2 linked regions of the Diceros bicornis minor genome follow. The protein of the gene in region 1 purifies or fractionates together with the protein of each later gene. This does not show direct contact. Links are inferred from orthologs where the notes say so. Each region holds a gene or a part of one and is shown on either strand. Other genes may lie near its edges. The genes, in order: CRY1 and FBXL3.

Region 1 (16,108 bases):
TTTAATATACACAGGGGGCTGGCCTGGTGATGCTGTGGTTAAAATTTGAGCGCTCCCCTTTGGCTGTCCAGGTTAGTGGCTTCAGATCCTGAGTGTAGACCTATACACCATTTATCAAGCCATGCTGTGGCGGTGTCCCATATACAAAATAGAGGAAGAATGGCACAGATGTTAGCTCAGGGACAATCTTCCTCAACAAAAAGGGGAAGATTGGCAATAGATGTTAGCTCAGGGCCAATCTTCCTCACCAAAAAAAAAGATACACATAAGCATCTAGTTAAATGAAGTAACTGCCCCACTCCTAAACCCTAGACTTACAAAGAAAATTAAAAAGATATTTATTAAATGCCTACGTTGTACAAGACATAATGCTAGACATTGTGGAGAATACAAAGAGGGCTCTTCCCCAGATATGTGCCTAGTCTGTTTCCTCCCTCCCTTTTGGTCTTTGTTCTCACATTCTCCTTTATTTCTCTCCATTACACTTACCACCTTACCACCACCTGACATATTATGTTTATGTATTTGTCTGTTTCTCTTCCTAGACTAGAAGCTCCTCAAGGACAGGGACTTTTTCTGTGTTATTCATTGTTGTATCCCCAGTAACAAAAATAGTGCCTGCCATGACAGGAACACAAAATAAATTTTTAATGGACTGAAATGGTACCTTCTCTTCAGGAAGAAAAGGTACAATCTGTTAAATGGGGGAGAAATAAATATATGAGGACCATATCAATTATACAAATAAAAGAAGTAAATACTAACGGTGATGTGAAAAGCAATCTCGAAAAATGGTATAAGAGTTCAAAAGACTGTTAATCACCCCAGACAAGGTGATAAAGAAAGGTATTATAGGAAAGATGGCATTTAGACTGGGCCTTACAGGGGTAAGCAGATTTTTTTTTTCATGTGTGCCATTCAATGGTTTTTAGTATATTGACAGAGTTGTGCAACCACCACCTTCTAAATGTTCTACAAACATTTTCATTAACTCATAAAGAAGCTTTGTGCCCCTTAGCTACCACTGCCCAACTCCCCCAACCTCCCCAGCCCTTAGAAGCCACTAATATACTTTCTGTCTCTACGTATTTGCCCATTCTGGACATTTCATATAAACAGAATCAAATAATATGTGGGATTTTGTGACTGGCTTCTTCATTTAGCATAATGTTTTCAAGGTTCATCCATGTTGTAGCATGTATCAGTACTTTATTCCTTTTTATGATTGAATAATATTCCATTGTATGGATATACCATGTTTTGTTTAGCCATTTGGGTTGTTTCCACCTTTTGGCTATTATGAATAATAAAAATTCTATGAACATTCGTGTATAAATTTTTGTGTGGTATAATTTTAATAAGAAGTAAGTGAAGGAATATTTTAAATCATTCAATCCCAAAGATGACAAATCCAAGATAAAGTTTCACTGGTCTCAGATCAAATGAGGCAAAGTCAGTTTTCATTACACTTACTTTATTCAAATCAAAGGACCATCCTTTACTTTGCATCAATGTCCTTCAAACTTTTTTTTTTAATGTTAACGCATCCTTTTTAAATGAAATGATGGCAATATCAAAAGGCAGTTTTGTTAATTTACTTAGCTAAAATAATTTTTTTTTAATTTGCTTTTCACTTAAATCCAAAAATTTAGGAAATGTTGTTGATTAAAGGAAACAGCATGAAGGAAAGAAGACAGAAACCCACGACAGCCTGAATGCCAAGCTAAGGATTCAACAAACAATAACTGAGCTACTACTATATGAAAAGCACAAAAATAAAATTCTGCTCCTGACTTTTTATAACAGTCTTCAGTGGAAGAAAACAGTCTGTCTCTACTCATCATTTATATCTTTATCTATCTTTTAGAAAAGGCAATATTTAGTAGTTAAAAAAAATCCTTTATTTTTTGTTTTGTGAGGAAGATCAGCCCTGAGCTAACACCTGTGCCCATCTTCCTCTACTTTATATGGGATGCTGTCACAGCATGGCGTGACAAGCAGAGCACTGGTGCGCGGCTGGGATCTGAACCCGCAAACCCTGGGCCACTGAAGCGAAGCACGCACTTAACCGCTTGCGCCACCAGGCCGGCCCCAAAATATCCTCTAAAAGAAGAAAAAAATGGGACTATTCCTATTGTGCTTACCAGTTTTATTTCACCCGTTATTTGACAATGTGAGTTGCTGGGTGTATAAAGTTAAGCAATATATAGCCCCTATCCTACAGAAGCTTACAGTCTAAATTTTATAAACTTATAAACTGCTCTAGAAGACACTGACTGCAGACATTTAACTAGATATTATTTACCTAGGGCTTCCAATTTAACAGCAAATAGCAAACAAGCACTTACTACCCACTACTCACATTTTAAGCATTTTACATTTGTCAACTAATTTAATCCTCCGAATAGTCTTATGACAAGGGAATTATTATATTATTTTAAGATATTAATACATTAAAATATATTACATTTATCATCTTTTTCCAAAATCAACGTTAATGACACTAATTCTGCTAATGAAAGAGTGTTGTGTTTTTTTGTGTGTGAGGAAGATCAGCCCTGAGCTAACATCTGTTGCTAATCCTCCTCTTTTTGCTGAGGAAGACTGGCCCTGGGCTCACGTCTGTGCCCATCTTCCTCTACTTTATATGTGAAATGCCTGCCACAGCATGGCTTGATAAGCAGTGTATAGGTCTGCGCCCGGGATCCAACTCTGCGAACCTCCGGTCACTGAAGCTGAGCCCGGGAACTTAACCACTACACCACCAGGCAGGCCCCAAAAGAGTGTTTTATATATAGTTGCTGTATCATTCCCATCATCATACAAATATACTAAAATTTTTCCCATCTTAAAAAAAAATCCTCTCTTGACTTCACATCCCACTCCAGGTACCAGACCATTTCTCTGATCCCCTTACAGCAAAACTCCCTAAAAAAGCTGTCTATCCGAGCTCTCTCCCAACTGCTCTCCTCTCAGACTCTCTTAAGCCATGCCAAAAGGCTTTTGCTTCTGACACTACTGAAACCACTCTAGTCAAGGCTATGAATGACCTCAAAATGCTAAATATAATTTTTAATTTTCAGTCCTCATCTCACTTCACCCATCTGCAGCACTTGATGTAGGTAAAACATTCTCTTTGAAATACTTTCTCTACTTGGCTTCCAAGACACCACACTCTTATGGGTTTTCTTCTTCTCTTACTAGATGTTCCTTCTCAATCTCCTATGCTGGTTCTTCCACAGTGCCACAATTTCTACACATTAGAGTACTCAAGGCTCAGTCCTTGGACCTCCTCTCCTTTCTATTTACACTCACTTTCTTAATGTTCTCACACAGTCTCACGGCTCTGCTAGAATGCAGCTTCAACAGGGTAGGAATTTTTCAGCAATTTTGTTTATGCTAAATGCCTTGAACCTAAAACAGTGCCTGGCATGTAGTAGGTGCATGACAAATATTTGTTCAATGAATAAATAGATGAATAAATGGCTTTAAATATTATCTATAAACTGATGACTCTCCAATTTATACCTTCTGCCTGGATCTCTGTCTCGAACTCCAGATACATTCAACTGTCTATCTGCTATCTCCACTTGGATGTGTCATCAACATCTCAAAGTTAACCAAGTTCAAACGAGAGTTCCAATCACCCTCCCAATGGCTTCTCTGACAGACTTCACTTTCTTAACAAAGAGCAGCTCCATCCTTCTACTTCCTGAAGCCAAAAACTTTTGAAATCATTCCTGATTCCTTCTCTGACACCACATATCCAATCTGCCAATAAATACTGTGGATTCTGCCTTCAAAATATACTCAGAATTTGACTACTTCGCACCAAGTCCACCACTATCACTACGGTCCACGTCATTACCATCTCTCGTCTGGATGCATGCAACAGCCTCCTAACTGGTCTCCCTGCTTCTTGTCCCCCTCCACCCCCAATTCACTCTGTTCTCAGAACCAAAGCCAGAGAAATTTTTTTCAAACTTAAGTCAGATCAAGTCACTTCTCTGCTCATAATCCTACAATTATTCCCACTTTGCTCTGAGTAAAAGCCCAAATCTTGACAATTGCCTATAAAGCTCTACCCGTTCTGGGCCTATTAAATCTCTGAGCTCATCTACTACTTTTCCTCTCACTTATTCTGCTCCAGTCATATTGGCTTCTTCTGCTGTTTCCTCCAAAGGTTATAAGCACACTTCTACCTCAGGGCCTTTTCCCTTACTGTTCCCTCTGCCTGGAATGCTTTTCCCCCAGATACCCACAACCTATTACCTGCTTCATCACCTTGTTCAATTGCCACCTTCTTTGAGTTTTTCCTGATCACCATATTTAAAATCGCAACTCTAATCCCACTCCCTCGTATTCTTTATCCCCTTTCTCTGCTCTGTATTTCTCCACAGCATTTATCACCACCAAATACTATATATTTCACTTCCTGGGACACGTGCTCGAAAAGGACAAGAATTTTTGCTTGTTTCATTCCACTCTATATCCCTGGTGTTTAAAGCAGTGCCTGGTATACAGCAGGTGATCAATAATCTACCCACTGAAGGAATGCTTTCATTTCCACCAGGGGGCCTAACAATCATCTAGCCTGATATTTCAGGAAAAGATCATAAAGCTTCTCCAAGATTTCTCCCAGGGCTCTGATCCGTAGAAGGATTATACTTTGCCTGGAAAGAAAAACTGTGCTTTGTCTAATCAACCACAAGGAGGAGTTGAGAGGAAGAGCTAGGCAGAGAGAAATCAGACAATGCCGTTTCCCTTGCTTTTCCTACAGCAACCTCAAGGTGGGAGAAATACGGATTTGGAGGCAACTGTACTGAATGAATGATTTTCTCCCTACTATGAGTTACCTAGACACACACAAACGTAAACATTAAAACCCGCAATCCTTTCGAATGCCACAACGAGGCCAAGGAAATCAATCCACGGGCCACTGAGGACTGGGAGGGAGTTTCTTTCACTCCACCACTAATAAGTCTCCATAAATCCAGGGGAAGAGTTGCCATTAGCGCAGAGACACGTAACTCACACACGAAGGCCTGGGTGCTCCAGGCTGCCAGCACGCTCGGGCCAGGGAGCTAGTAAGTCTGTTCTATTTAATACTTAAAGCACCCACACTCTTAAAACAGCATAAGCAAGGCGGTCCCAGGTCTAAACTCGCAGATGGGGCGGATCGCGTGTCAAGTCCCGATTCAGTGAACACCGAAATCAATTTCCCACGGGATTCTGACTCACCGCCACCTGTTGATGCCCACATTGGAGGAGCCCGCGAACCAGGGGTCGAGGATGTAGACGCAGCGGATGGTGTCGGCGCCCTGGATGCACTCCTTCAGGGCGGGGTTGTCGTGGAGCCGGAGCCCCTTTCGGAACCAGTGCACGGCGTTCACCCCCATCCCGGGGCGCGGCGGACGCCGAGTTCCTCCCGGAGAAATTCAGGGGAGGAGGGTCCGGCTCATGACCGACACCTCCGCCGCCAGGAGAATCGCCGCACCCAGGGAGGGAGGGGAGGGCGGCAGAGCGGGGAGAGGAAAAAATGAGTCCGAGGAGGGGACCCGAGAGGGAGAGGGCGCTGGAGGCGCTGCTGGAAGATGAATGGAGGCTACCCAGGCGGCGGAGTCCGGTGTGACGCCCTTTAGGAGCCGGCGCCGGCCGCAACCGCGCGGACCAGACGCATAACTTCGAGGGCCTCGGACCTCCGGCGGCTGAGCAAGTTCCACGAGCCCGAGCCGCCACGACGGCCTGAGCCGGCACCCGCGGCCCCTGCGGGTTCGTCACGGAAGCCTCGCCCCACCGAGGCGGCGCCTGAAGAGAAAACGGGCCGCCGGAGGCGAGCCTCCGAGAGGGACGAGAGACGGTTGAGCAGCTGTCGGCCACGCTGCCTCTCGGGCCGGGAAAGAGGAGTGAGAACGCAGCACGGAGCACGAAGGCGGTGGTCGAGGCCGCTGGACGGCTGCCGGCCGGTGACCGGTCCCGAGGCTGCCCGGGTGACTCCGCCGCCGCCGCCGCGTCAGCGGCCTCGGCCCCGCCCCCGGATCCTCATTGGAGGGCGCGGTCCCCACGTGACCCCCGGCACCTCACGTTTCTGAAATGTGTTTACTACAGCCGCTCTGACTGGGGAATGTGCTCATGATTCAGTCGCTTCTAGGGGGCGGCAGCCGCTTGATCTCAGAGCCGTCGATCCTCGCCCAGACGCTGGGCTCTCTGCCACTGCTCCTTTTCTCGGCCGACAGGTCGCCGTGGCCTGGAAGCCCCCGCGGTAACCACACGGCCCCTGTGAGGGGAGGCTTAGCTCCGCCTCTGGGGGCCGTGAGCATCCACCATTGGCTGAGGCCCGCTGAGACCCGGATGAGCACGGGGATGCGGGGAGCTCGCGGACGCGCGCTTGGCTCGGGAGGGCGCGCGTGCGCTCTCACTCTGTTCCAGAGGGAGAGAGGCAGAGAGGGAGGCAGGGAGGCAGGGCGGCAGGGCGGCAGGGCGGCAGGGCGGCAGGGCGGCAGGGCGGGGCCGGCGGGCCGGAGTGCGCTGGGGGATTCCTACCATGGGGTTCGCGGAAGGGCTGGAGACAACGTGGTGTCGTCCAAGCGGCGGCGGGGAAGCTGGGGGAGGGGAGTGAGGCAGGATGGGGTGGAAGGAGGAGAGTAGGAAGCTCCATTAGACTTCGAGCCCAGCCGTGTGCTTCAATCCAGCTTTAGCCAGAGAACCCTACTTTTGAGTGTGTGGAGCTGGTGCCCCTGCCATTCTTCTGGCCCTCGCGGCGCGACACCCTTGGACATGCTTTGGGGAAGAGGGGTAATTGGCAGGGTGGGTGCCAGGCATCCCTGGAATTCCTTTATACTGTCTGTGTATCATCAACATGTCAGCCCTAATTTCTTGCACTAAGTGCGATTTACAGGGCTCTTCGTGATGAGGCCTTTGCCTACCTTTCTAGCGACAATGAACTTCAGTCCATGCCATGCCTTAGACATGTGATGCCCGTATATTAATTCAACAATTACTTATTGAACCAGGCACTGTTCAAAGTGTTGGAGATACAAGAGGGAAATAGACAAAAATCCCAGCCCTCTTGGAGTTTACAGTCTGTCTCTTAACCTTTACACATGCTGATTTTTCCTCCATAAAATGCTCTTCTTTAGAATCACTACAATCACCTTTGAGCTACCTGGTATATTGCTACACATCCCTTTAGATTCAGATGAAGTGCTACCAATTTGTGGAAATATTCCTGTCCTCCAAAGCGGGTTTAGGACCACCCCCATCTCGCCAGGCATGTCTCTGATGCATCACTTATCACACTATGGTGAAGATTAAATGAAAAATGCCTACTTTAATACCTAACACAAAATATGTGCTAAATATCAGTTTTTATTATCATAATAGTTATCATAATAGCATTATGATAACTTGAGAAGTGTGACTTCTCAAGGACAGAGTTTTTGTCCAATTTGTTTTTTGCATCATCAATACCTAGTGTGAAATGAATAAGAGAAACCTTAACTAAATTAAAGTTGGGAAGGTCTGTAGGGGGAGCTCTCAGGCTCTATCATACATGGTTAGTTACTCAGGAAGAGACATAGCTTGCATCTCTGGCAGTAAGTACAACTATTTTACTACTGAAGGAAGATTTCTCTCCCCACCTGGCTACAGCCCCTGAACTGTCACTTTTCTCCAATGGACTTTGTTTAGAACAGCCCCTCCCTGCTCCCCCTTTTTGTCTATGAAAGCAAGCTCTCCTCCTTTGTTCTCGGAATTTGCCTATGGTTTGCCATTGCATGCACATCCTGAATTGCAATTCTTTTGGCTATTCTCAAATAAACTTATTTTGAGGGTAAAATAACTGGCAAATTTGCTTTTTAAGTTGACACTGGTATAGAGCCTGACACATGTATTCAAATATTGAGTGAATGAATGAATCTGTTTGCCACCAGTGTGTTTGGCAAGGTTACAAGGAGGAAGGATATGGCAATTGTTACAGGTTGACTTGTGTCCCTCTAAAATTCATATAACCCCTAGTACCTGTGACTGTGACCTTATTTGGAAGTAAAGACTTTACAGATGATCAAGTTAGGATGAGGTCATTAGGGTGGGCCAATCCAATATGACTAGTGTCTTTATAAAAAGGGGGAATTTGGACACAGAGACAGACCCACACACAGGGAGAATGCCATGTGAAGATTGGAGTTATGCTACCACAAGCCAAGGAACTACTTGAAGCAGCATGGAACAGATCCTTCCCTAGCACCTTCAGAGGGAGCATGGCCCTGCCAATAGTTGGACTTCTGGCCTCCAAAACTGTGAGACAATAAATTCCTGTGGTGCCTTCACTTGGATTGCCTCATATTCCCAGGCCTATTGTAGTTTTAAAAATACAGTGTTTCAGGGCTGGCCCAGTGGCATAGTGGTTAAGTTTGCATGCTCCACTTTGGCAGCCTGGGGTTCTCGGGTTTGGATCCCAGGCGTGGACGTACGCACCGCTCATCAAGCCATGCTGTGGCGGCATCCCACATATAAACTAGAGGAAGATTGGCACAGATGTTAGCTCAGGGCCAATCTTCCTCACAAAAACAAAAATACATTGTTTCATGTTTCATTTTAGGCAGTTTGAAAGTAAGCAGATTGTGTCTAAAGACATAAGAATTGTTTTCAAACATCCAAATGAAACAGTGGGAGGTAGAGAGACAATATTGATTGGTGTAGAGTTGACTTATGTTTGCTGATTGTTCATTCAATAAAGATGAATTTTTTTGACAGCTGTATGTGGGTGTGTGTGTAAGTTTCATTTACACATAAAAGTACTAATTTATTATAAAAGCATCAGTACTGTCAACTGTGCATTCCTCAAAGACTGAAGGGTTTTTATGGCATACAGATGGTTACTTTAATATATCTTTGTTATGGGGGTGTAGTAACCATTTAATAATAGCACCTACTATGTGCCAGGCACTTTATATAGGTTATTCTTAACCCTAATAATAATCTTTTGAGGCAGCTTATTATTATTTAATAATAACTTATGCCCACATTGCTGATAAAGACACTAAAGCTCAGAAATACAAATAAGTAGTAAAACTAGGTGAAAAACCAAGACTGTTTCTGAATCCAAGCTCTTTCTTTATCATATACTATTCCTCACTCACACTACCACTCCCCTTGTTTTTCAGAGTGAGTATTTATGTATGAAGGGAGAAGGAAAAGATGGGGAGTGTTGTCAGGAATCTCTTGTGATATTCTGGTTGACTTCAACATCATGGTGGTAGAAAGAGTATGGGACTAAGAGAAAGAGAATGAATTTTCTCTCGGCTCACCATTTAGTTGATGATCCTGAACAAATCACCTGGGCTTTCTTGGCCTGATTAATTTATCTATAAAAGGAGGCGATTGAACTAGATGATTTCTAAATTTTCTATACTATTTTAAAATTCTAGGATTCTATGAACACAACCCTGTCATGGGCTCAAAAATATCTATGAAGAGTCCTGTTAAACATTCTTTCAACTGCCAACTATGTTAGAAAAATCAATATCTCTTTGATTTCATGAGCGCCCTTGATAAAAATGTGTTACCTCTAAATTGAAAGCCTGTGTTCTCTCTTGACCCCATCTTGCAGAGGTGATTTTTGACATGTTATTAACAAACACATAATGAAGGGGTAGACAGTGCAATCAGCTCATTCAGTCTTTTTTTTTTTTTATAATTTTATTTATTTTTCCTCCAAAGCCCCAGTAGATAGTTGTATGTCATAGTTGCACATCCTTCTAGTTGCTGTACATGGGACGCAGCCAGACAAGCGGTGCGTCAGTGCGCGCCGGTGATCCAAACCCGGGCTGCCAGCAGCGGAGCGTGAGCACTTAACCGCTAAGCCATGGGGCCGGCCCAGCTCATTCAGTCTTGATGTGATGTGTATATTAGGCTGGTAGCCCTTGGCTGAGTGATCCCCAACACTAGAGTCTTTGGGGGATTGAATTTATATGATGTGTTAAAGGATCATTATTTTTTTAAAAAGGTAAATTATGACTCTCATATGAATATAAAATGAACACATGTCAAAGATTTCACTTAACTTGTTAATTAATGAGGGAACCAGTAAGATGTTACAATGGAATAAAAGGAGATTCCAAAGAGCAGTTACATATATAGGCCATGAGGAATGTTAAAAATGAATTTTCTTATTATATGCAAAACTAACTTCTTCTACAAAGGGGTGAGGGTAGGGAAATCAATTGCACTTTCAGAGGACAATATCCATGTGCGTGTCCATGGACAAGATTCGTTTGCATTGCTATCAATAATCTACGATTTAAAGAGTTGTAAAATAGTTTAAAGATAATGACAGGCAGAGAATAACTTGAAGAGACCTAGTAATTTTTTTGCCCATTTCAGTCATTCATAATTTTTCTCACCTTCTTGGAGTGATACTGGCTTAACACAAGGTTGACACAAGGGAAGCCATATTGTAGAAAAGAAACCATATTGTAACTTGGAATGACCTCTGATAACTAACCCAGATATGCTCTGCAGATTTTGTGGCCCCTCTCAGCTGCTATAAGTTGATAACTTTGTTCTTTTGAGTTCCTTAGGAACGTGATGACTCCCAGGCAGAGAGTCTATGCTGATAGCCATCATCAACGACAGCTGAAAGATCAGGGTGTAGGGCGTTGCTCCGGTCTCTGATACATATCCAGTAAAACAAAAGACCATCAGTAACTAAGGCCAGATGTCTGCCCCTACCCAGAGATCAGATGGATGCGCCCACTGGGAGGCCAGCCCCCTATATAACTGGCCTGTAGTCTTTGTTCTGGAAGACGGTTCTTTCGGACATCAGTCGGCCATCTTCCCCCTTGCTAGCAAGCTGTAATAAAAAACCTCTTCTCTCCTACCACCTTGCCTCTTGACTACCGGCATGTCTTGGGATGGGCGGATGACCCGCCCATCCCCACCCTTGGGTGGTAACAGGAGAGGTCTTCCCTGTCTGCTCATTCTAGAAAAGGGGCCCTTCTTAGTCTTTATCATAGCTCCCTATTTACTTTCATCATAGCACCAATTGTGATCTGTATTTTTTGGTTGTTTGCTTACTTATTATTGGGCAATCCAGGTCTGCCCCCTCCCCATATGCAAGCTCCAGGAGGGTAGAGAGTTGAGTCTATTTGTGTTCTTTATTATATCATTAACACGTGCCACAGTGCCTGGTACTCAACAGACTCTCAATAAATGTTCTTCCAGAGACCATGGTAACACCCAGTTGATCACATAAACACTGTACTTCATCCACATGTCAGTTATCAATTTATTGCCTCTCAGCTCCAAATTCACTTTTCATGCCTATTCTATGTTAATGGAACTAGACCCTAGGGATAAGGATTTCTCTATCACCGCTGGCACCGTGTTAAACATTGTCAGTAGAGGGCGCTGGAGGAAAACCGCAGGAGGAAGGGGCTTGTCTTCTTGGTTCTGGAATGCTTGTTTTCTTTTTCTGCTCCTACTCCACCACTGTCAGAGGTGCTTGGGGGAGGGACATGTTGTGGAGCTCACTTCTACCAAGTTTCAGTGGCATCCCTGCTGGTTGACGCCCAGTGAGTCTTGCAGGCATCCCAGTAGGTACTACTCTGCCTCAGCCCACCTGCATTCTGGCCAGGTGTTGCCTGTGGCCATTCCCAACCACGGTTTTCTTCCCACTAGCCTTGGCCTGGTGAGGGTAGACCAGCTGTGGCCCAGGGCAACCCAGTCAACTTCTTCACTATCCAGTTGCTACAACCACACCTTCTCCGATGAGCTCTGAATCCCACCTTTGGGGAAGACCCTTGGTCCTCTCCCTTCCAAGTTTGTCCTTCCTTGGGTACTCTCCCTCAGTCCTGGGGTATTTTCTTTCTTTCTTTCTTTCTTTTTTTTTTTTTTAAGGAAGATTGGCCCTGCCCTAGCATCTGTTGCCAATCTCCCTCTTCTTTTTTTTTTTTCCCCCAAAGCCCCGGTACATAGTTGTATATCATAGTTGTAGAGTTGTAGCTCTTCTGTGCGGGATGCCACCTCAGCATGGCTTGATGACCAGTGAGTAGGTCCGCGCCCAGGATCCAAACCAGCAAACCTCAGACCGCCAAAGCGGAACACGTGAACTTAACCACTACGCCACTGGGCCAGCCCCTGGGGTATTCTTCATAGTTCTCTTTCCGACTCTATAATTAATCTCCTGTGATAATTAATAATTCTTTTCATGAAACATTCCCTGTTGGATTTACTGTGTGGTTTCTGTCTCCTCATTGGGCACTGACTGATAGAATCCGTTAACTGATCGAGTCCAGAAAGATGTACTTGCGAACAGTTTTCTTGCTTGTTCTTATCCTTTTTCTTGACCAAGTGCATTTAGAAAATGTAAATAGTCACAAATGTGGCAACATGATATTGTGAAATATTAGCCAATGTTTTTTTCCCCACACATCTTTTTTTTGTCCTGTGACCATCCCTATGCAGGTCACTGGATGTGGGTCTTTTGTTGCCTCGGGGGTAGAATTGGAGGACAAAGGTAGTCCAACACTTTTGTTGCGAATTCAAGAGCCTTGATCCAGATATAAATCAGGAAAGATTTGCCGTTACCCATCCCTTCCCTCAACACTATATAAAAGTTCTCTAAGCTGGGGTGGGATATGAGTGCAAGGAAAATGAAATAGATAAATTTTCTGAAATAAGAAGATAGTGTCTCATCTATCCTTATTCAGGCTTAGTTCCAGATCCTACATTAGTTTAGGGTGATCTGTGAGTAGAAAAGACTTGTGCCCAACTTCCCATCTGAAATCTGGAGGCTGACCCTCATAGAAGTCCCCATATTACTTTACTGTGGCCCAGCACAGCCTATGAGGGATTCGTTGGACAGAGAGGACCTGGGAAACCCTGCTAAGCCTCCTGCTGGCTAAGAGAACAGCTGGATTTTTCTAGATGTCCCCTCTTCCTTAGAGGGCTGTGAAAATTAGCTGAAAAAGAAAGCCAGCTAACCAAGAGATTTTGCCAAGGGAGACAGTGTGGTGCAAAATGTCACAAGAGGTTGTGACCAAGGACTGGATGGGAACATCGGCATCTCAACAGATGCTGTCTTGGAAAGATAACACATCTGAGGACCTGACAGGATTGTACATTCAGCAGATGTCAGTGTAGGCAAGTGAGGAATGACAGCCAGATCAACTCCCTTCCTTCTAAAGATGCATTGTTCCCTAAACATCTGGGGACTTAAATGCTACCCTGGAGAGAAGCAGAGGAAAGGAGATATTTTTCAGAATTGGTTGAGTTTAAACTTAAGATGACAAGAAATTCCTGAAATGACCAAGAAAACCTGGAATCAACTAGACCAGTTTTCAACCAGTGAGCAGACTGAGACTTCAAGACAAAAACTAAGTTTAGCGATAGGAAAATAAAGACAACTGCTTTTGGGCTCTGATTTGTAGACTAAGAAATACTGTACTTGAAAATCAATATTACCTTAATTTAAAAAAATTGTGTTTGCCACAAAATCCAGCCAAATATTATAGAAACTCCAAAGACCTTACACAAGCTATCTGGCCCTGGGATCTGGCCTGCCTTCCTACCCTTCCCACTCTCTACTTCTGGCTGTTCCTTAAGCAGGCCAAGAATGCTCCCACTTCAAAGACTCTGCACTTGCTGTTGCCTCTGCCTGGAACATTCTTTCTTAAGATGTTCTCATAGCTCCTGCCTCATTTCCTTCAAGTGTCTGCCCCAGTGTCATCTCCTTTGGGAGGTCTTCCCTGTCCACTGTGTCTATACTCCTCATCATTCTATAATCCCTTTGCCCAGCTTTCTTTTTCTTCATAGTACTCAAGATTACCTGAATTATGTATTTATCTATTTGGTTACAAGTGTGTATTACTTAACTCAGGCTGCCATAACAAAAAACCCCAGACTGGGTGGCTTATAGACAACGTAAATTTATTTTCTCACAGTTATAGAAGCTGGAAGTTTGAGATCAGGGTGCCAATATGATCAGGTTCTGGTGAGGGCCCTCTTCCTGGCTGGCGGATTGCCTTCTGGTTGTGTCCTCATATGGCAGAGAGAGACAGAGGAGAGAGAAAGATAGAGAGAGTGAGAGAGAGAGCACACAAGCGCTCTCTGGTACCTCTTCTTATAAGGACACTAATTCTATTGGATTAGATCTCTACCCTATGACCTCATTTAACCTTAGTTACTTCCCTAATGGCCCTATTTCCAAATACAGTCACATCGAGGGTTAGGGCTCCGACATTTGAAATGGGGTGGGGGGCACAATTCCGTCCATAGTAATATGTCTTTCCCTACTCTATAGAGTAAGCTCCATGCTATGGCCTGAATGTTTGTGTCCCTTCAAAATTCATACGTTGAAATCCTAACCCCCAAAGGTGATGGTATTCGTAGGTGAGGCCCTTGGGAGATGCATAAGTCTTGAGGGTGGAACCCTCGTAATGGGATTAGTGCCTTATAAAAGAGGCTCCAGAGAGATCCCTAGCCCCTTCTACCATGTGAGGACACAGTGAGAAGTTGGCAACCTAGAAGAAGGCCTTCACCAGAACCTGACCATGTTGGCACCCTGATCTCAAACTTCCAGCTTCTAGAACTGTGAGGAATGAATTTTTGTTGTCTATAAGTTGCTCAGTCTGTGGCATTTTGTTATAGCAGCCTGAATGGACTCTAAGACATCCCACAATATATATTAAATGAATGAGTGGATAAATACCCAAAATACTATTAATAATATCTGAGATCAGTTGAGTCCTTAATATGCACCAAACAGAATGACTATGTTAGGCACTCTGCTAGGTACCTTAGATACATGATTTTATTTAATTTTCACAACAGCCATTTCAGATAGGTATTACTATTCCCATGTTATAGATAAGAAAACTGGGATCTAGAGTAGTTAAGTCCTCATAACTTACTCTCATAACTTACCCTCAAAAGTGGAAAAGGCAGGAAATAGACCCAGGCTTTCCCGACTCGGGAGGCTGTGGGCTGCCCAGCACACTCCATTGCTTTCACAGCACTGGGATTTAGGTGTTTTTATATGGGTGCAAAACAAGGACTGTCAGAACATGGGGGGGCCAAGTAATTCTAGTTAAGATGAATCTGGGTAGGCTTTTTGTAGAAAGTAGCATTTGCATTGGGAAAATTTTTAAAAAATTTTTTAAAGGAATGAAAGAAGAGATTCCAAAGGAGTAGATGATTGTGCAACATAAGGCAATAGATTTATTTAAAATGTTCAGGGCCGGCCCCGTGGCTTAGCAGTTAAGTGTGCGCGCTCCGCTACTGGCAGCTCGGGTTCGGATCCCAGGCGGGCACAAACGCACTGCTTCTCCGGCCATGCTGAGGCCGCGTCCCACATACAGCAACTAGAAGGATGTGCAGCTATGACATACAACTATCTACTTGGGCTTCGGGGAAAAAAGATAAATAAATGAATAAAAATTAAAAAAAAAAGTTCATGTAGTGGAGTAAGTATATGGAAGAAAAAATTGCCAAGTATAGATTGAAAACCTAGTGAACAGTGCCAGAAACCTGGAGGGGTATTTGTTTTAACTGCAGCATCAGCATCAACAAGAAGGAGGGCAGTGATGGAAAGAAAGGGCGGAAAGATGGCTCTGAATGGTGCTGCGTATACTCAGAGCTATCGACGTGCTTCTAAAGGGCTCATCTCAGAGTACTTGAGCATTCAGTGAGGGATAAACCGGCCACTCCTGGGGTTCTTGTATTGAGATGGTAGCACTTGGAGAGGGGTCAGGGTAGAGAAGTGGATTTAGGACTTTCTTCATAACTTAACTAAGGCTCAAAAGGGCTGCTAGGAGCCCTCTAAAGAAAATGCACATAAATGCCAAGTATTATGAGCTCAAGGCAGAAGAAGAATTCTTCCGTCCTTAAAACTAAATTTTTAAGAATAGTTAGCAGACAAGACTGAGGCAAGTTAGAGGAGACAGGTATATATGCTGATGTGAGACCAGGCACTACTCACCCTGCCACTTTCATGGCCCCAACCTCTTAGAATTCCCGGGAAGCAAGTTGCCTGGGACTGGTGATGCCACCTGGTGGCTAGTGCAAGAAGCACAAGCAGTTCTGCAAGAATCCACACCTACGTTCGGAA
Region 2 (15,073 bases), on another chromosome or scaffold:
ATTATTTCCATTTTACAAATGAGGAAACTGAAGCACAAAGAAGTTAAGTAACTTGTCCAAGTTCGTGTATCCAGAAAAGGGAGAATCGTGATCAAAACCTAAGCCACGGCCGAGATCCACATCTTCTCCATTTCACTCTAGAGCAGCTTTAACTGAGCAGTGGAGACGGGGCTCTCAAGTTTGCAAGGCCCGAGAAGGGCATGAGGAGACAAGGGTTCCTCCTCCTGTGGGGAAACGCCAGACTGGGAGACTAGAAAGAGGTTCAGAAAAAGGAAAGGAGATGGGAAAGAGAAAAAAGAAGTCAAAGAGTGGGAAAGAACATGTGGAGAATCCTTATGAAACTATAAATCTAGAAGGCCCTTCCCTTGTATGGTTCAAAGGAATGCCTAAGGGTAGAACCGAAAGTTCTGTTCCTCGCCGACTCAACTGCTCTTTAGAGATCTACCTGCCCCTCCGGAAAGAACTTCATGCATCTTTCTAGTAAGGTCTGCAGTTGATCCGTCAACTTGGAAGGCAGGAAATCCTTCAAAAAGAGGCAGTCATCATGCCCAGTCATTTTCCTGGGCCTTCATCCCCATCCACCACCATCGCTATATTACTAGACAGAATCATTCTTGATTAATGGCAGCTATGGAGAAGATGCCACACCCACCCCCACTCCCCGACACAGGACACAGTGGAACCAAATTCCACGATCACCTTTCAGTTAAAGGGAAGCATCATTTGAGACCCAAAGAGGAGCCTTTCCGGGTCAAGTTTGCACTGGTAAGCAGTTTTTGTTGCAACCAAAAGAAAGCAAATGCAAAATAACTTCAACAAGCAAGAAAAAAATGAAATCTCTGGGATCCCTCCAGGCCTGGGAATAGGGTAGAACCAGGGCTGTGGACTCTGGCTCCATCTCTCCTCTAGGTCCTCTCTCTGCATCTATTTTGCTCTTCTCTCTCACTGCAGAGCACTTTTTTCTGCTTTCCAGACTAGGTAGTAGCAAATGACCACCCGTAGCTCCTGGGTCTATATGTTACAAGTCCAAGCACCCAAGGAAGGGACTACTCTCTTTTGGTATTAATTCCAAATTCCCAGGGGAGGGACTGTCTCAGCTTGGATGGCGTGTGCATTTCTGGACCAATCAACTGTGGACAGGGGCCAGATTCATGTGCTACAGGAAGCCATTACTAAACCAAGTAGATGGGGAGGAGCTTCCCCCAAAAAGAGCTGCCAGGCAGGCAATTGAATAGGTGTCCACTACAGGGCCATAGCAGATTTCAGTCCCGGGAGAGAGTTGAACGTGTTGACCTTCTAATTATGATTCTATCTGCTTACTAACTCCTGGCCTTGTGCTTTTCTTGCCACCTGGATAGATTGCCTCTCTTCTGTCAAATTTCATTACTTTCTTCAAGATTTGATTCAAAACTGCCCTTGGTGAATGAATGAGCTCTCCCTGTCTATCCCTGTTCCACCCTGCATCTCATGCCCTCAGCACCTTTGTATACAGTGTTAGTCTTATTATAAGGAACTTATACATATTTATACAACTGTTTTCTAATTTCATTGGAGGATGTTATCCTTTTAGACAGCTATCAAAGTACAGAGGAGGACCGAGGACTTTCCTCCTCTGCAACCACAAAGCACTTTGTAAACAGTGGAGGAGAATGAGGAGAAGGAGGACGAAGAGGAGGAGGAGGAGGAGGAAGAGGATGGAGAAGAGGGGGAAGAGGAGAAGGGGGAGGTGGAGGAGGAGGAAGAGGAGGAGGAGAAGGAGGAACTTAGTAGCTGCAGTTTCTTTCTCCTGTGTTCTATTAACAGATTTCCTGTTTTCTGTGAGGACGTTCCCCATTCCTTGTGGGACTCGGGAAATTGGTGAATCATAAAAGCACAGATTCCTTGTATGATCTGAGTCCTCTGGTCCATAATCAAACTTACTTATGACTGCCCTCTCGTCACCATCCCATTCACCTCTTAAGATTCTTTCCTCCCCTGTAACATCTAACTGCCATCTACTCCCCATGACAGATTTATTTTAGTCACAACATGGCTCAAGTCCAGGACACTATACCATAAGCTCTGTCGTGTCGTGTTCTTTCATTCTTCAAAGAAACATTTACTGAGCCAGGAACTGTTCTACGAGCCTAGGATCTGTGAATAAAACAGACTAAGATTCACATTTTCATGGCGCTTTATTCCTCTAGAATATACGGGGAGACAGACATTAAACAACAGACGTACAATACATAATATGCTAGGAGGTGATATGTGCTGTGAGGAAAAAAAATAGGGCAAGGGGGCATTGGAGTGTTATTGTCATGGTTTTCTTTATTTTTTGGTTTTAGCGGTACATTGTTGGATTTGATTAACTAATATTTCTTTTCAAATTTTGCAGCTATTTTCAAAAGGGAAATGGGGCTACAGTTTTTTTCTTTTCCATATTTGGTTTGGTAATCGTGATTATACTAGCTTTATAAAATGACCTGGTGACTTTTTCTCTTCATTTTTTCTCGAACAACTTGTATAAGAAAGGATTAACTCTTAGTTGGAAGTCTGGTAGGGCTCACTTGTAATTCTCTCTGGGCCTGGGGTTACTTGGACGAAAGGGCTTTGAAAATTACTTCAGTGCTTATTGATCTGTTCAAATTCTCTACTTCTTCCTGCCAATTTTGGCATTTTATATTTCTCTAGGACTTTATTCTTTTTATCTAGGCTTTCCATTTTATTGGTTAATAATTATTTATAACATACTTTTATTATTTTAAATACCTGTGGTGGCTATATTTGTTCCCCCTTTTAAAAAGTATGTATTTTGTTAATTTGCAACTTTTTTCCCCTTCATCAATCGGACCAGCGTTGTATCTACCTTATTCACTTTTATTTTAACCAGGTTTCGTTTTTGATCTTCTCTATTTATTTTTTTCCTATTTTATTGATTCCTGCCCTTGTGTTTGTTATTAAATCTCGTCCAGTTATCTACTACTGGAGGACAAACTACTCAACACTTACTGGATTAAAACAGTAATTTATTATTGTCTCTCAGGGTTCTGTGGGTTCACTGAGCATTGCCCCCTGAGGCTTTGTCTTCCTAAAACATGAGACTGGTTCTTTGGATACACTGTCCAAAGAGTAAGCATTCCAAGAGACTCAGATGAAAGCTTTAAAGTTTCTTATGGCCTAGCCTTGATTTAAAACATCACTTCTGCCTCATGCTGTTGGTGAAACAAAGCCCAGGTTTAAGGGCAAGGGAGTAGGACTTCACATCTTAATGTGAAGAGCAGCATTTGCCTATGGGAACGGGAGGAATAGATGATAGCCATCTTGTAAGCTGTCACTATAATTTCTTTCTTGATGTTTCACATTTTTTCTGTTGCTTTTTTTCTCCTTTCTTTTTTTTAACTTATTGAGGTAAATACTTGGCTTTTGTTAAATTTTACTTGTTTCTGGATTACTATATTTAAAACTAGGAATCTCACTCTAAGTGTCAGTATAGATGTTTTTCACAACCACTGATATATATGGTATTTTCATTATTATACAAGAAAATATTTCCTTAATCTTGGTTTTCATTTACTTTCTAACTCATGTATTATTTTAGTTATGTTATTTAGTTTCCAAACAAATGGCATTTTTAGCTCTCCCTTTGTTATTCATTTCTAACTTTACCACATTATGTCTCACAAACATAGTCTGTATGATGCTAATCCTCTGAAATTTAAGTTTATTTTGTGGCCTAACATATGGTGTATTTCCTGAAGTGTTTTATTTCTCTACAGTGACTTTTTGCAGTATAAAATTCTACATATCCAAGAGCTTAAAGTTATTAATTGTGTTGTTCAGATCTACAATGATTCTGCTTATATTTTGCCTGCTGGATCTATCAGTTTCTGAGATTGGTGTGCTAAAATCTTCAACTACAGCTGTGGATTAATCTCCCTCTTCCTACAGTCCTATCAGTTGTTGCTTTTGTTACTGAGCAATGGGCTCGCTCTGCTCGCAGTGATCTGAGCCAATCACTCACAATGAGTTAAGGATGGAGAAAGGAAGCTTTAATTTGATTAACCAGTATAATCAGGAAGATGGCAGGCTAATGTCTAAAAAAAACCATCTTCTAGGATTACAGAACCTTGAGGTAGTTATATAGGGAAAGTGGGGAGTAAGGAGGGGGTTTAGAAACGTCAGCTTTCAGGCATGATGGGCTCTAGGGTCTTTCATTGTTCTTTTCTTCTGTCAGTGATGATGGATATCTTGTAGGTGTGTTTCCCACCTGTAGTCAGCCTGTTCCTAGAGAGAAACTCATAGAACAAAGTTTTAATTTATCAAGTTATAGGGGAGTACGTATGTAAGTGGAGGCCATAAATCAGGAGAGCACGTGAATTTTTTTAGAGTACATGCAGAGCAGTGAGTAGTCACACAGAGGAGGGGCTGGGGTCATTTAGCGTAACAAGGTGTACTTACTAATGTTTACTTACACTTTGTGCATTCTGTACATTGTAAGGTGCATATATGTTCATGATGATACCATCTTCTTGCTCTGTTTTTTCTTTTATTAATGTATCTTTTCCCTTATGACATTATTTGTATTGAATTCTATTTCATCAGCTATTAGAATTATTACTAAAGCTTTCTATTAATTCATTTATTTTCAATTCTATATATACTTCCCATCTAGTTATTATATATTTATATTAATCATATGTATGTTTGTGAAATTCATAAAAAATGATTATTTAAAAACTAGATGGATATAAAAAACAAATTAGAAATTTCTGGAATGGAATTTTCAATAGTTGGTATAAACTCTAGATTGCAGACAGTCAAAGAGAAAATCAGTGAGGTAGAAGATAATATGTGATATAGCAGAGAGAGACAAAGAGATAAAAATATAAAAGGGCAATTAAAAGACGTAGAGGATGAATTGAGAGGAGTGAGTGTGAAGTCCTTAAGACCAAAATAGAAGGATTGATGGGAAAGGATTATTTGAAGAGACCGTGACTTGCACAGGGACAGGAGATGAGTTTGCTAGAGAAGTTGTAACTGACATCCCTGCATAAAGCAAGAATTTTGAAGATCTTTATCCTCCTCAAGGAATGGTTGGCTTACGGCACAGGGAGATGAACAGTAAACTAATCTGTCTTAGCTCGGGCTCTGAGTTAGAGAAAAGAAAAGACTTTTTAAGAATTCATAACCATGGGCTTGCCCTCACACAGGTTGGCCCAAGAACCCAGAAGTCAAGAAATTATTATACAAATTGTTCCAGGCTAGTAACGCCCTGCAGCACCCAGCAGAAGAAAACACAAAAGACCTCTCTGGAGTGACATACCCTCAACAAGGCTGCACAGGATTCCTACAGCTAAAGCTTCACAGATGAACTCACAACCCAAAATCATAAAATATGTGAGTAACAACCTACTATGAGAAAACATTTACAAAAATTGGCATTAGACCCTCAATTATTTCATATAATTAAAATGATTAGAGAAAAAAATAATTAAAAACAAGAGAAAAGAACATCAAGAAAGATCAGGCAGATATGAAAAAGAACCAAGTCCAACTTTTAGAAATAAAAGTTGGCAGAGATTGGCTTAACAGAGACTAAACAGAGCTGAAGAAAGAATTAGTGACTTGGAAGACAGATCTGAGGAAATTACAGAGCGTTCAGTAGAGAAAAATAAAGACACAAAAATATGAAATTAAGAGATATGGAGACAATCTTCCTATGCAAAAAAATTCCAAATAATTTATGTAGACATTACTCCCTCAAGGAGATAGAGATAACTCCCCATCCCTTTAGTGTGGGCTGTACTTAATGACTTCTTCCAAGGAGTATAGTATGGAAAGGAAGAGAAAAAGTAACTTTACAGTGGAGCAACTTGACCTCAATCTCTGATTAATATTAACATCAACAGGAATAAGTCCTTTTGGCATATACCCTTGATGTGATATGATGAGAATGGCACTTTATACATTTGTGATCTTCCTCCCAAACACTCATAACCTCATCTAATCACGAGAAAAACCAGAGACAAACCCCAAATGAGGAACATTCTACAAAATACTGGAGCAGTACTCCTAAAAACTGTGAAGGTCATCAAAACAAGGAATTATAAGATAGTGCTTAAGGAACTACTCAACACAACCTAATCTATTCTGATCCTAGAGTGCCAAGGTGGGGGTGGTGGGGCCCATCCTGGGTGGAAGGGGTACACTGTCTGTGGAGAATTTAACAACAATAATAAAGCTGACTAAATGTTGGTTTGCTTTTTATTATCACATGCACTGGCAATTCTAAACAGGGTTGGTAATAAAATATTCTTTCCTCTTGGACCAAACTACTCCACAGCCACCCTCCCCCTTCCGCCCCAATGCCACAGATCTTGACTAATATAATCGATAAATTAAATAAGTATTGACTGATTCAAAAATAAGCATGTTTCTTTTTTTCTAAAAGGTGAAATAAAATCTTTAAATAACAACAGGGAAGAAGAGGAAGCATTCAGTAAATTGTGCCAAGATCCTTGTCTCCTTTAGGGAGAGAACAGACTGTAACGAGAAATTAAAAAGTGACAACAATTGGAGTGTGAAAGTTTTAATGTGATATAATATCTACTAGTTATATATGCTGATTTCATTTAACGTGTTTTGCTGATCCTTTATACTGTTAACCTACCTTTAAATAAATGGGCCTGTATTTGACTGACTTGTTTTTCTTCCTCTAATAACTATCATTGCCTGTCTTAGAACTTCCTACTGTCCTTTGTCATTAGTCACTGAGGGACCTAAAAAAATATTGCAGTTCAGGTACATCCACATTATTATGTTGGTAGAGACTTGTTTAGCTCGACTTGATGATCACAGAGCCAGGCCCTAACAGAAAGTACCAGCAATTTCCCACACTGAATCTTAACATAATTTTACACATGGCTTCCTACCTCAGTTTGGGGTTGGGGCGAGTGGAAGACTGGAGAGCTCACTGAGCATCACTGCCTTCCAGTCTCTTACACATGGCTCAGATGGTTGAGAAAACATCTTTGAATAGAAAATGTCTTCTTTCTTATTTTTGAGGGAGGCAGGAGGGATGGTGCATGATTCAAGTTAGAAATGGCTTTAAGAAAACCCAGTATCCAAAAATCCAAAGTTTTAAAAGTTAACTAGGTAGCAGTCACACCCAAAGATGCCTGAATGTACAAAAGGCTTCATCAGAGGTTTTATTTTAAATAGCCATCTATTCCTTTGCACTTTCCTCAATGTGTTTCAGAAAGCTATGTACAAATTTCAGGGGTCTATCTATGTTATAATCGTGGTTTTTAAAAAGTAATAACTCCGATGATAAAAATCGTTTCTAGAAAAATTGGAAAATACAAATATTGTAAATATAAAATTCATCTGTAATCCCAGCGTTAACATTGTCACCATTCTGCTATACTTCTCCGCAGTTTTAAAAAACACCTCATGGATATATGATGTGTGTACTATCTTTTTACAGGCCGTATTTGAACTCCTTGGGTTACACGGCGTGGGCGTGGCCATCCGAGGCCGCCTCTCCGCGCGGAGGTGTGTCAGCTGTCAGCAGCTGCTGTCGATCCTTCTGCCCCTGACCCAACTGCTGGGCTACAGCAGGCGCCGGGGACACTGCTTCCTTTCTTCCTTCTGCTCCACCTCCCTAACTTTCCATTTCCAGCCACACATAGTCTCAGGCATCTAGCTAGCTCCAGCCCTCCCACCTTAGGCTGCAAAACGAAAAATCCCCTAAAAGCGGCAGTCACGTCGCGGGGAGGAAGGTGGCCAACGCTCCTTCTGGAAGCGGGAGGCGGAGGCCCCAGCCGCGCCGCGCGGCGCGCGCTCCCGCGTGGGCGCGGCCCACCCTTGCTCTCCTCGGGCGCGCCGCGGCCGCGAGCCCCGGGCGCCATTTTGGACTCGGTGTGCGGGCTGAGGCGCAGGGGGCCTACGCGGTGGCCGCGGCTTCGTGAAGGAGCCCCCTGCGACGACGAGGGGTCCCGGGAGAAGGACGCAGGGACTGAGAAGGACGCTTCCGCCTGGGCAGCCAGAGCCGCAGAGGTGGAGCCGCGTTGGCGCCCGCCCCGGGACCAGCGCCTCGGATGCGGGCGGAGCGCGGGGGTCCGCGGCGGCGCGAGCGGGACGCGGGGGGCCCCGGGGGTCTGATGTGAGAGCCGCGGGAGTAGCTGCCGCCGCCGTCCCCGGAGCCCGGGGCGGTGTGTGGGGGAAGCCGCCCCCGGCAGCAGGTAACGGCAGAGGGGCCGGGCCGGGGAGGGTCTGCCACCGTCGTGGGCAGCAGGGCGGGCCGGGGTCCTGGGGGCGCAGGGGCTGGGCTCGTGCGGGCCGCCCCTCGGGAGCGGCGGGCGGGGCGCGGCGCCGGACCTTGGAGCTGGCCTGGGGGCGTTTCCCCGCCGTGCCTGCTTCAGAACTTGTCAACAAGGCGTGGGGCCGTGCGGCGACCGCGTGCCGCCGCCCGCGACACCGCCGCGCCCGGAGCCCGGCGTGTCAGCCTCGGCAGGGGCTGCTGACGGGCACCGCGGAGCTCGCGCTCTCCGGGCTCTTCCCCGCGTCGTCTGCGCCCGCGCTTCTAGCTTGAGAAGTGAGGGGCGTCAAGATGTCAAAACAGCCTGGCCAGGGTAGGGCGCCGGAGAAATGTCAGGGAAAGCCAGTCCGTGGAGGTGGCGCAGGGAGGAGGGGCCGCCCCGGCCGCGTAGGCGAGTGGAAAACTTGGTCAACTTGTGATGGGCAGCTTCGCGCCTGCTTTTGGCATGGGCAGCCGTCTCAGGTGGGGTTGCAGACGAGATCAGGCAGCAGACTATTAAATGATTGGCTTGCATCTCCCAGCTGAGAGGGGACATTACTATTATTTTGCTGCTGCTGATGTCCAATCGAATGGCCCAGATCTTTTCATTAGAGTCTTTTTCCTATTATCCCTGAAATATTTCTGAATATGCCATCGACTCCCAGTTATCTACAAATGACCAGTAGACCGAGTTTCACCATCACACTCTCCCTACCGTCTAGTTCTGAGAGTTAATCTCTTTCCACTGTTTTATTCTTGTATTCCAGCCAAAGAATGCATTTTAATTTTGATATTAGTCAATGCAGAGCATAAATGGAAAGGAAATGTGATGCCAAAACAGGCTTTTGAGAGCTAAGTGCAAATGGGCTTTTAAAATTACTACATACTACAGTGTACTAAAAGTGCCTAACACAATGAGGGACACACAACTAAGTGTTCTCTTCCGCTCTTCATCTGATGAGCAAGTTGACCGCGCCTTTCAGAGTGTATGGAAATGTTCAGAGTTTGTTCTGTAGTCTCTGCTCATTAATTTGCTTTTTGGCGCTTTGTAGTAATATCAGTTCTTCACCAAATGCTCTCTTGCGTCAATTACGTATATGGGGCCCGGAAACGTTGCAGTTTAAATTAAACTGGGAGCCCTGAAGGGGCCTGGTTTTGGTGCTTTAAAATCTTATTGACGTTTGGTGTCCAGCTTTCTTCTCTGCACTCCTCCTGTTCAAATCTAAGAGGTGTTTTCTCTTTGACTTAATGTAAGGGATAAATAGTCCATTCTTTGCAGAATGGTGGATGCTCTGAATTATTTAATTTTCTGTACAGCAGAGCTTCATGTGTAAATATACACGATAAAATATTTTTGAAAGCAGTGTAACTTTTTGCATGAATAAATGAAATCATCTTGGAAAAAATTGACATTTAAAAATTTTACCAGGTGCCCACTTTCTGTTATTTTCATACATATGTGAGGATAATATAGAGATCATTTTTATTGGCATTTGGCCTTACATTTTTTTCTATTGCTTAATATACTATAATTCTGACATATTACAGTCATATTACATATGACAATTTACAGACTTTTGTTCAGCTATTCATAAACTAGTAAGTGCTTAAAATATACTTTGGCGATCGTATAGTCTTATATCTAGACCAAGAGATAGTATTCCTCAGTGTTGCATATTTCTTTTTAATATGTTCACTTGTTTCTCCTCTCAACTTGGAAAAGTATTGAAATATACTTTATTTAAAACAGGGTTGTAATAGACAAAAGAAAGTATCTATTGTTAGGATCAGCAAAGATAATTCTGTGAATAAGATTGTCATTTTATTTTGTTTATATGTCCATATACTCCAAAGTAAAATGAATCATTCCGTCTTTAAGTTGAATAGTTCTGGGTTTAGAAGACAATCAGCAGAAACAGGCAATCAGCCTTCTATAATAAGGAGTAGAAATTATAAAGATGGCTTCATTCTTTTTTGAATCTCTGTATCTCAAAATTCTGAGTAGTTTTAGATAATCAGAAGAGAAATTATAAGCCCTGGGTAGCAAACTCTTTGTTCTTTGACCCAAATTTTATATGCTAAAATTAAAGTAAGCCTTCAGAATAAGTTAAAGCAGAAAAATGGCTCATAATGACAGTGTTATCTCAACCTCTAGTGGGACGATATTACTAGGAGAGATTTCTTTTTTTATATTGAAGACTGTGTTGTAGATTATACTACCTTTTCTCTAAACACATTTTAAAAAATGTATTCTTAGATTCACATGTAAGTTTTAGTCTTCCATAAAACTACCCTCTTGCTGTCACTTCTTCATTCTGTTTTCTCCCTTCCTCTCCCAATAGGATGTACATCATTTACTTCACTTAACTCACATAGTTGGAAGTAGGAGCAATGAGGAATAGGCAGTTTATTGCACATGTACTAAAACCTCCTGGGCTGATTTTAACGGCATGAAGGCCAAGGGCCTCTGCCATTCTATTTCCCTGCAGCCACCAATCCTCTTTCACAAGTTTTGCTAGCTACTGGATAGAGAGAGAGTCTGCAGAGACATATCTGGTTGAGTCGTGCATGTGCACATCCTTTGTCTCACACACAAATCAGAAATTGTTATATGCTAATGTGCCAGAAGAAGGGAGTTGGAGCCACAAGCCATCGTTTTCAAAAGCTATGACTCCAAATCCAAACCACTACCCTGCCGGAACTGCTCTCTAGAGACAAAAGAAAAGTACTGCAGAGTCTAAACTAAATAGGAGTGCTAGTGAGTGGTCTGCAGTTACCCCACTTCGTTTAGAGCCTGCACTACTTATTTTTCCAAATAACAGATCAAACCCCACCTTTTTATCTGATTATAATGTAATTCATTGACATTAAAAGAAACCTGTAAAATATAGAGAAGCATATTGGCAAAAAAAAACAAAAAAATTCACCTGTAATCCCACCACTATTATGATCTCACTATTAGGAATATAATATAATGCCACTCACTATTATAGTTACCATATTAATGTGGTAAATTCACTTTCAATGTTTGTTTCTCATACATGAGCGTGTGTTCTCGCTCGTTCTCACGCACTCACTCTCTCACACACACACTTCATTTTAAAACAAAAATAGGATCATTCTTTGCCTCTTGGTTGGTAACCTCTGTTTTTACTGTGTTGTGCACTTTAACGTCTTTAACATTGGACTGCTTTCCTATACCTGAATTCAACAATCATGTATCTCCTTTCAAAAGCCCTAATATTATTTAATTTCTTGCATGAACCCTGTGTGTTATTATCTCTGTTATACAAACTGAAGCCCAGGAAGGTCCAGTAATGTGTTCAAGGCCACATAACCAGTGAGAGGTAGAGCCAGGCTTCAGACTCAGGGAGCTTGATTCCAGAGCCTATTCTCTTTAACCATACTACTGTTTTTGCAACAAAAAGACTATTTTCAAAGAAACAAATGGAGTGAAGATAGCACAAATACATAAAATAGAAACATACCTATCATTCAGAAATACAACTTTGGGAAAACATTGTAACAGTAAGAGATGTGTTGGAAGAAGAAACCACATTTCAGACCAAACAATGCTTATTTTTAAGCAGAGGTTGGGTCTGGCAGCAACACATAGCACAGGCTGTTGAATGTAGAAAGATCTGTCAGCTACTTAATTCAGATCCTCTCTGGAGGTTCCTGGAACTCTGGTCTGCCTTGAATTCAGGAACTCAAATACATATAGCAGGTATGGTTAGATGACTCTTAAGAAACCTTTAAAAAGTGTCACTGTAGATTCTCTTTTATATTCGTTTTAGTTAGTTGACTACAACTTTTGAAATATAAATTCTTTGTTTTGTTTCAAAATCATGATAAACTTTTCCCCCAAGTAGTACAGTATAAATACAAATGTTTAAAAACACTTGTATAGAATTTATAAAACAACGATTGGTCTCCAGTGGCATTTTTCATTATATTTTGTTTTGATATTTTTCTTGAATAATTGGTCCAGTTCTTCCTGCACATTTGCATTTGTATTTATAAACACATATATACACATCTCAGTGATAGAAGAATGAATTTTGAATTTATTTCTATTCAAAAATTATGAAAAAATTGCCTTTTTCTGAATAGGATGAAACGAGGAGGAAGAGATCATAATTCATCAGAAGAAGGGACTACAGAGAAATCCAAGAAACTGAGGACTACAAATGAGCATTCTCAGACTTGTGATTGGGGTAATCTCCTTCAAGACATTATTCTTCAAGTATTTAAGTATTTGCCTCTTCTTGACCGGGCTCATGCTTCACAAGTTTGCCGCAACTGGAACCAGGTATTTCACATGCCTGACTTGTGGAGATGTTTTGAATTTGAACTGAATCAGCCAGCTACATCTTATTTGAAAGCTACACATCCAGAGCTGATCAAACAGATTATTAAAAGACATTCAAACCATCTACAATATGTCAGCTTCAAGGTAATACTTTAAATCCTTCTTTTAAAAAATAAAGCATATTTAGTGGCTCTTGTGTCCTAAGCCAGTACATCTTCTCATGTCTTTAAAATAATGCTTTTTTTTTTTTTTTTGCTGAGGAAGATTAGTCCTAAGTTAACATCTGTGCCAGTCTTCCTCTGTTTTGTATGTGGGTCGCTGCCACAGCATGGCTGATGAGTGTTGTAGGTCTGCATCCAGGATCCAAACCTGTGAACCCAGGCTGCTGAAGCGGAGCATGCCAAACATAACCACTACACCATGGGGCCAGCCCCTCCAATAATGCTTTTTTAGAGGAAGTGCTTAAAGACTTAGAATTATCATATACCTTAGAAGCTGTCACAAATGATTATATTTGATCTAAATTACTCCATTTTATTATAATTATTAATAATTTCTTAAAAGAACAGAAGCAACCACTAAATAAGCATAAATCGTTGACCAGAGCTATCAGTCACATTGAATTATTGTGAACAGATTTGAGGAAAAAGAAATATACAATAAAATAAATTAAAAATGTGGAGATTTTTTTTTTTTTAAAGATTTTATTTATTTATTTTTTCCCCCAAAGCCCCAGCAGATAGTTGTATGTCATAGCTGCACATCCTTCTAGTTGCTGTATGTGGGACGCGGCCTCAGCATGGCCGGAGAAGCGGTGCGTCGGTGCGCGCCCGGGATCCGAACCCGGGCTGCCAGCAGCGAGCGCGTGCACTTAACCGCTAAGCCACCAGGCCGGCCCAAATGTGGAGATTTTGATTGCTATCTCTAATAGGGACTGAGTTTTTCTTATTGATGGCTTTATGATACGAGATTTTCAAAGAAAAAGGAGATATAGAAACCATGTAAAAAGTTTAGATGAATACATTTTAGAGAGAAATAGAAAAAGGTACATGGAGAATGCCAAAGAGAACTGTTTGTTTCTTTCCATTGCTAGAAAGGATGTATTGGAAATCATGCAATGATGACATAAGTCAAGTGGGGTGGCTTTTTGAGATGTCCGGAAGAGTTTAAGGAATCACGGTGGTTTGTATAAGTACAGGGGCTGGTAATGTTTGCGGGATGAATAATGGAATGTGGACATGTTTACTAAATCCTTAACACACTTGATAATTATTGTTGAAAAGTAATGCATGAATATCTGATTTTCCTATATGTAGCAGTTGTTAAACAGATCAAGTTAAACCTAGATAAAACAATGGTTCTTAACCCAGAGTTCTTTGCCAAAACTAGTCTTTTCTGCTCCCAAGAGTACATTCCTTCTTAGATGGAGATTACCTGTTTATTCTCCCATATATGTGCCTGAGCAGGAGGAGAGACCTGGTGATGGGAATGGTTGGGTGTATTATGGCCTTCTTCCCAGCAAAATGCACAAAGGCACTTAAGCCACTGGGAGTAGGATTGCTAGGTTTAGCAAAGAAAAATAGAGGATACCAAGTTAAATTTGAATTTCAGATAATCAATGAATAATTTTTAGTATAAGTATGTCCCATGTATTATTTGGGACATACTTAATTCTTATTTAATTGTATGTCCTCTATGTTATCTGGCAACTCTAACTTGCAGCAAGGGTCGGGGAATGAGGAGAGGATCCAAACAAACAAAAATCCAGGAACTTCTCATGTGTTGCCCCTCCCCCGACTCCCTTTGGTTTCAGTCATCTTTGAGTTGTCTGAGAGTGTTCTAATGGTAAATTCTATAAAAAGATGTCTAATATGTTAATCTCATAGGTGTAAAGACAATTCCATACAGTGGATTGGCTGGGTCACTGTTGTTCTTTTACAGCCCTGTGACACTATTCAGCTGTATCCAACTTGTATAACCCTCATAAAACCATTTGTCCTGTAAGTTTAAACATTTTTATTAGGAACTGTTTATTTTCCTGAGGAGGTAATTTCTGATTTGCAAAAAGAGCGACATCACAGGATTCTTCTGGGCTCTCCTGTTAGTATTTGTGTTTAATTCATCGCTGACTGTATGCCAAAGAGGCTTATAGTCAAAGTTATTAGTGTAGATCAGTGATTCTCAAACTATATATGAATCTGAAACACTTGGAGTGCTTGTTGAGCCAAAGATTGCTGGGTCCCACCCCTAGAGTTTCTGATTCAGATGGTCTGGGTTGGGTGTGAGAATTTGCATTTCTAACGAATGCCCAGGTGATGTTGATGCTGCTGGCCCAGGGACCACACTTTGAGAACCACTGGTTTAGAGAAACTTAGCCAAAAGATAATATTATAAACAGCTCTGAAACTGTAATAGAAAGCATATATCATTTTTACAACCAGCTCTTCAGAACATTTTTGGGTTAAGGTAATGTACATCAA

What was found.
Region 2: the proteins of CRY1 (region 1) and FBXL3 purify together in Homo sapiens (affinity purification with mass spectrometry; 4 studies listed by BioGRID and IntAct, counting the BioPlex papers as one, with this or other methods). This does not show direct contact. The link is inferred for Diceros bicornis minor from reciprocal best matches to the Homo sapiens genes CRY1 and FBXL3.

Annotation. Positions count from the first base shown.
Region 1 is NC_080764.1:17,163,115-17,179,222, reverse strand, and holds the start of CRY1 (cryptochrome-1), read right to left. Parts: upstream 6,234-16,108; 5' UTR 5,400-6,233; coding exon 5,242-5,399; intron 1-5,241.
Region 2 is NC_080748.1:56,524,249-56,539,321, reverse strand, and holds the start of FBXL3 (F-box/LRR-repeat protein 3), read left to right. Parts: upstream 1-7,605; 5' UTR 7,606-8,225; intron 8,226-12,394; 5' UTR 12,395-12,395; coding exon 12,396-12,737; intron 12,738-15,073. UniProt on the Homo sapiens protein: Substrate-recognition component of the SCF(FBXL3) E3 ubiquitin ligase complex involved in circadian rhythm function. Plays a key role in the maintenance of both the speed and the robustness of the circadian clock oscillation.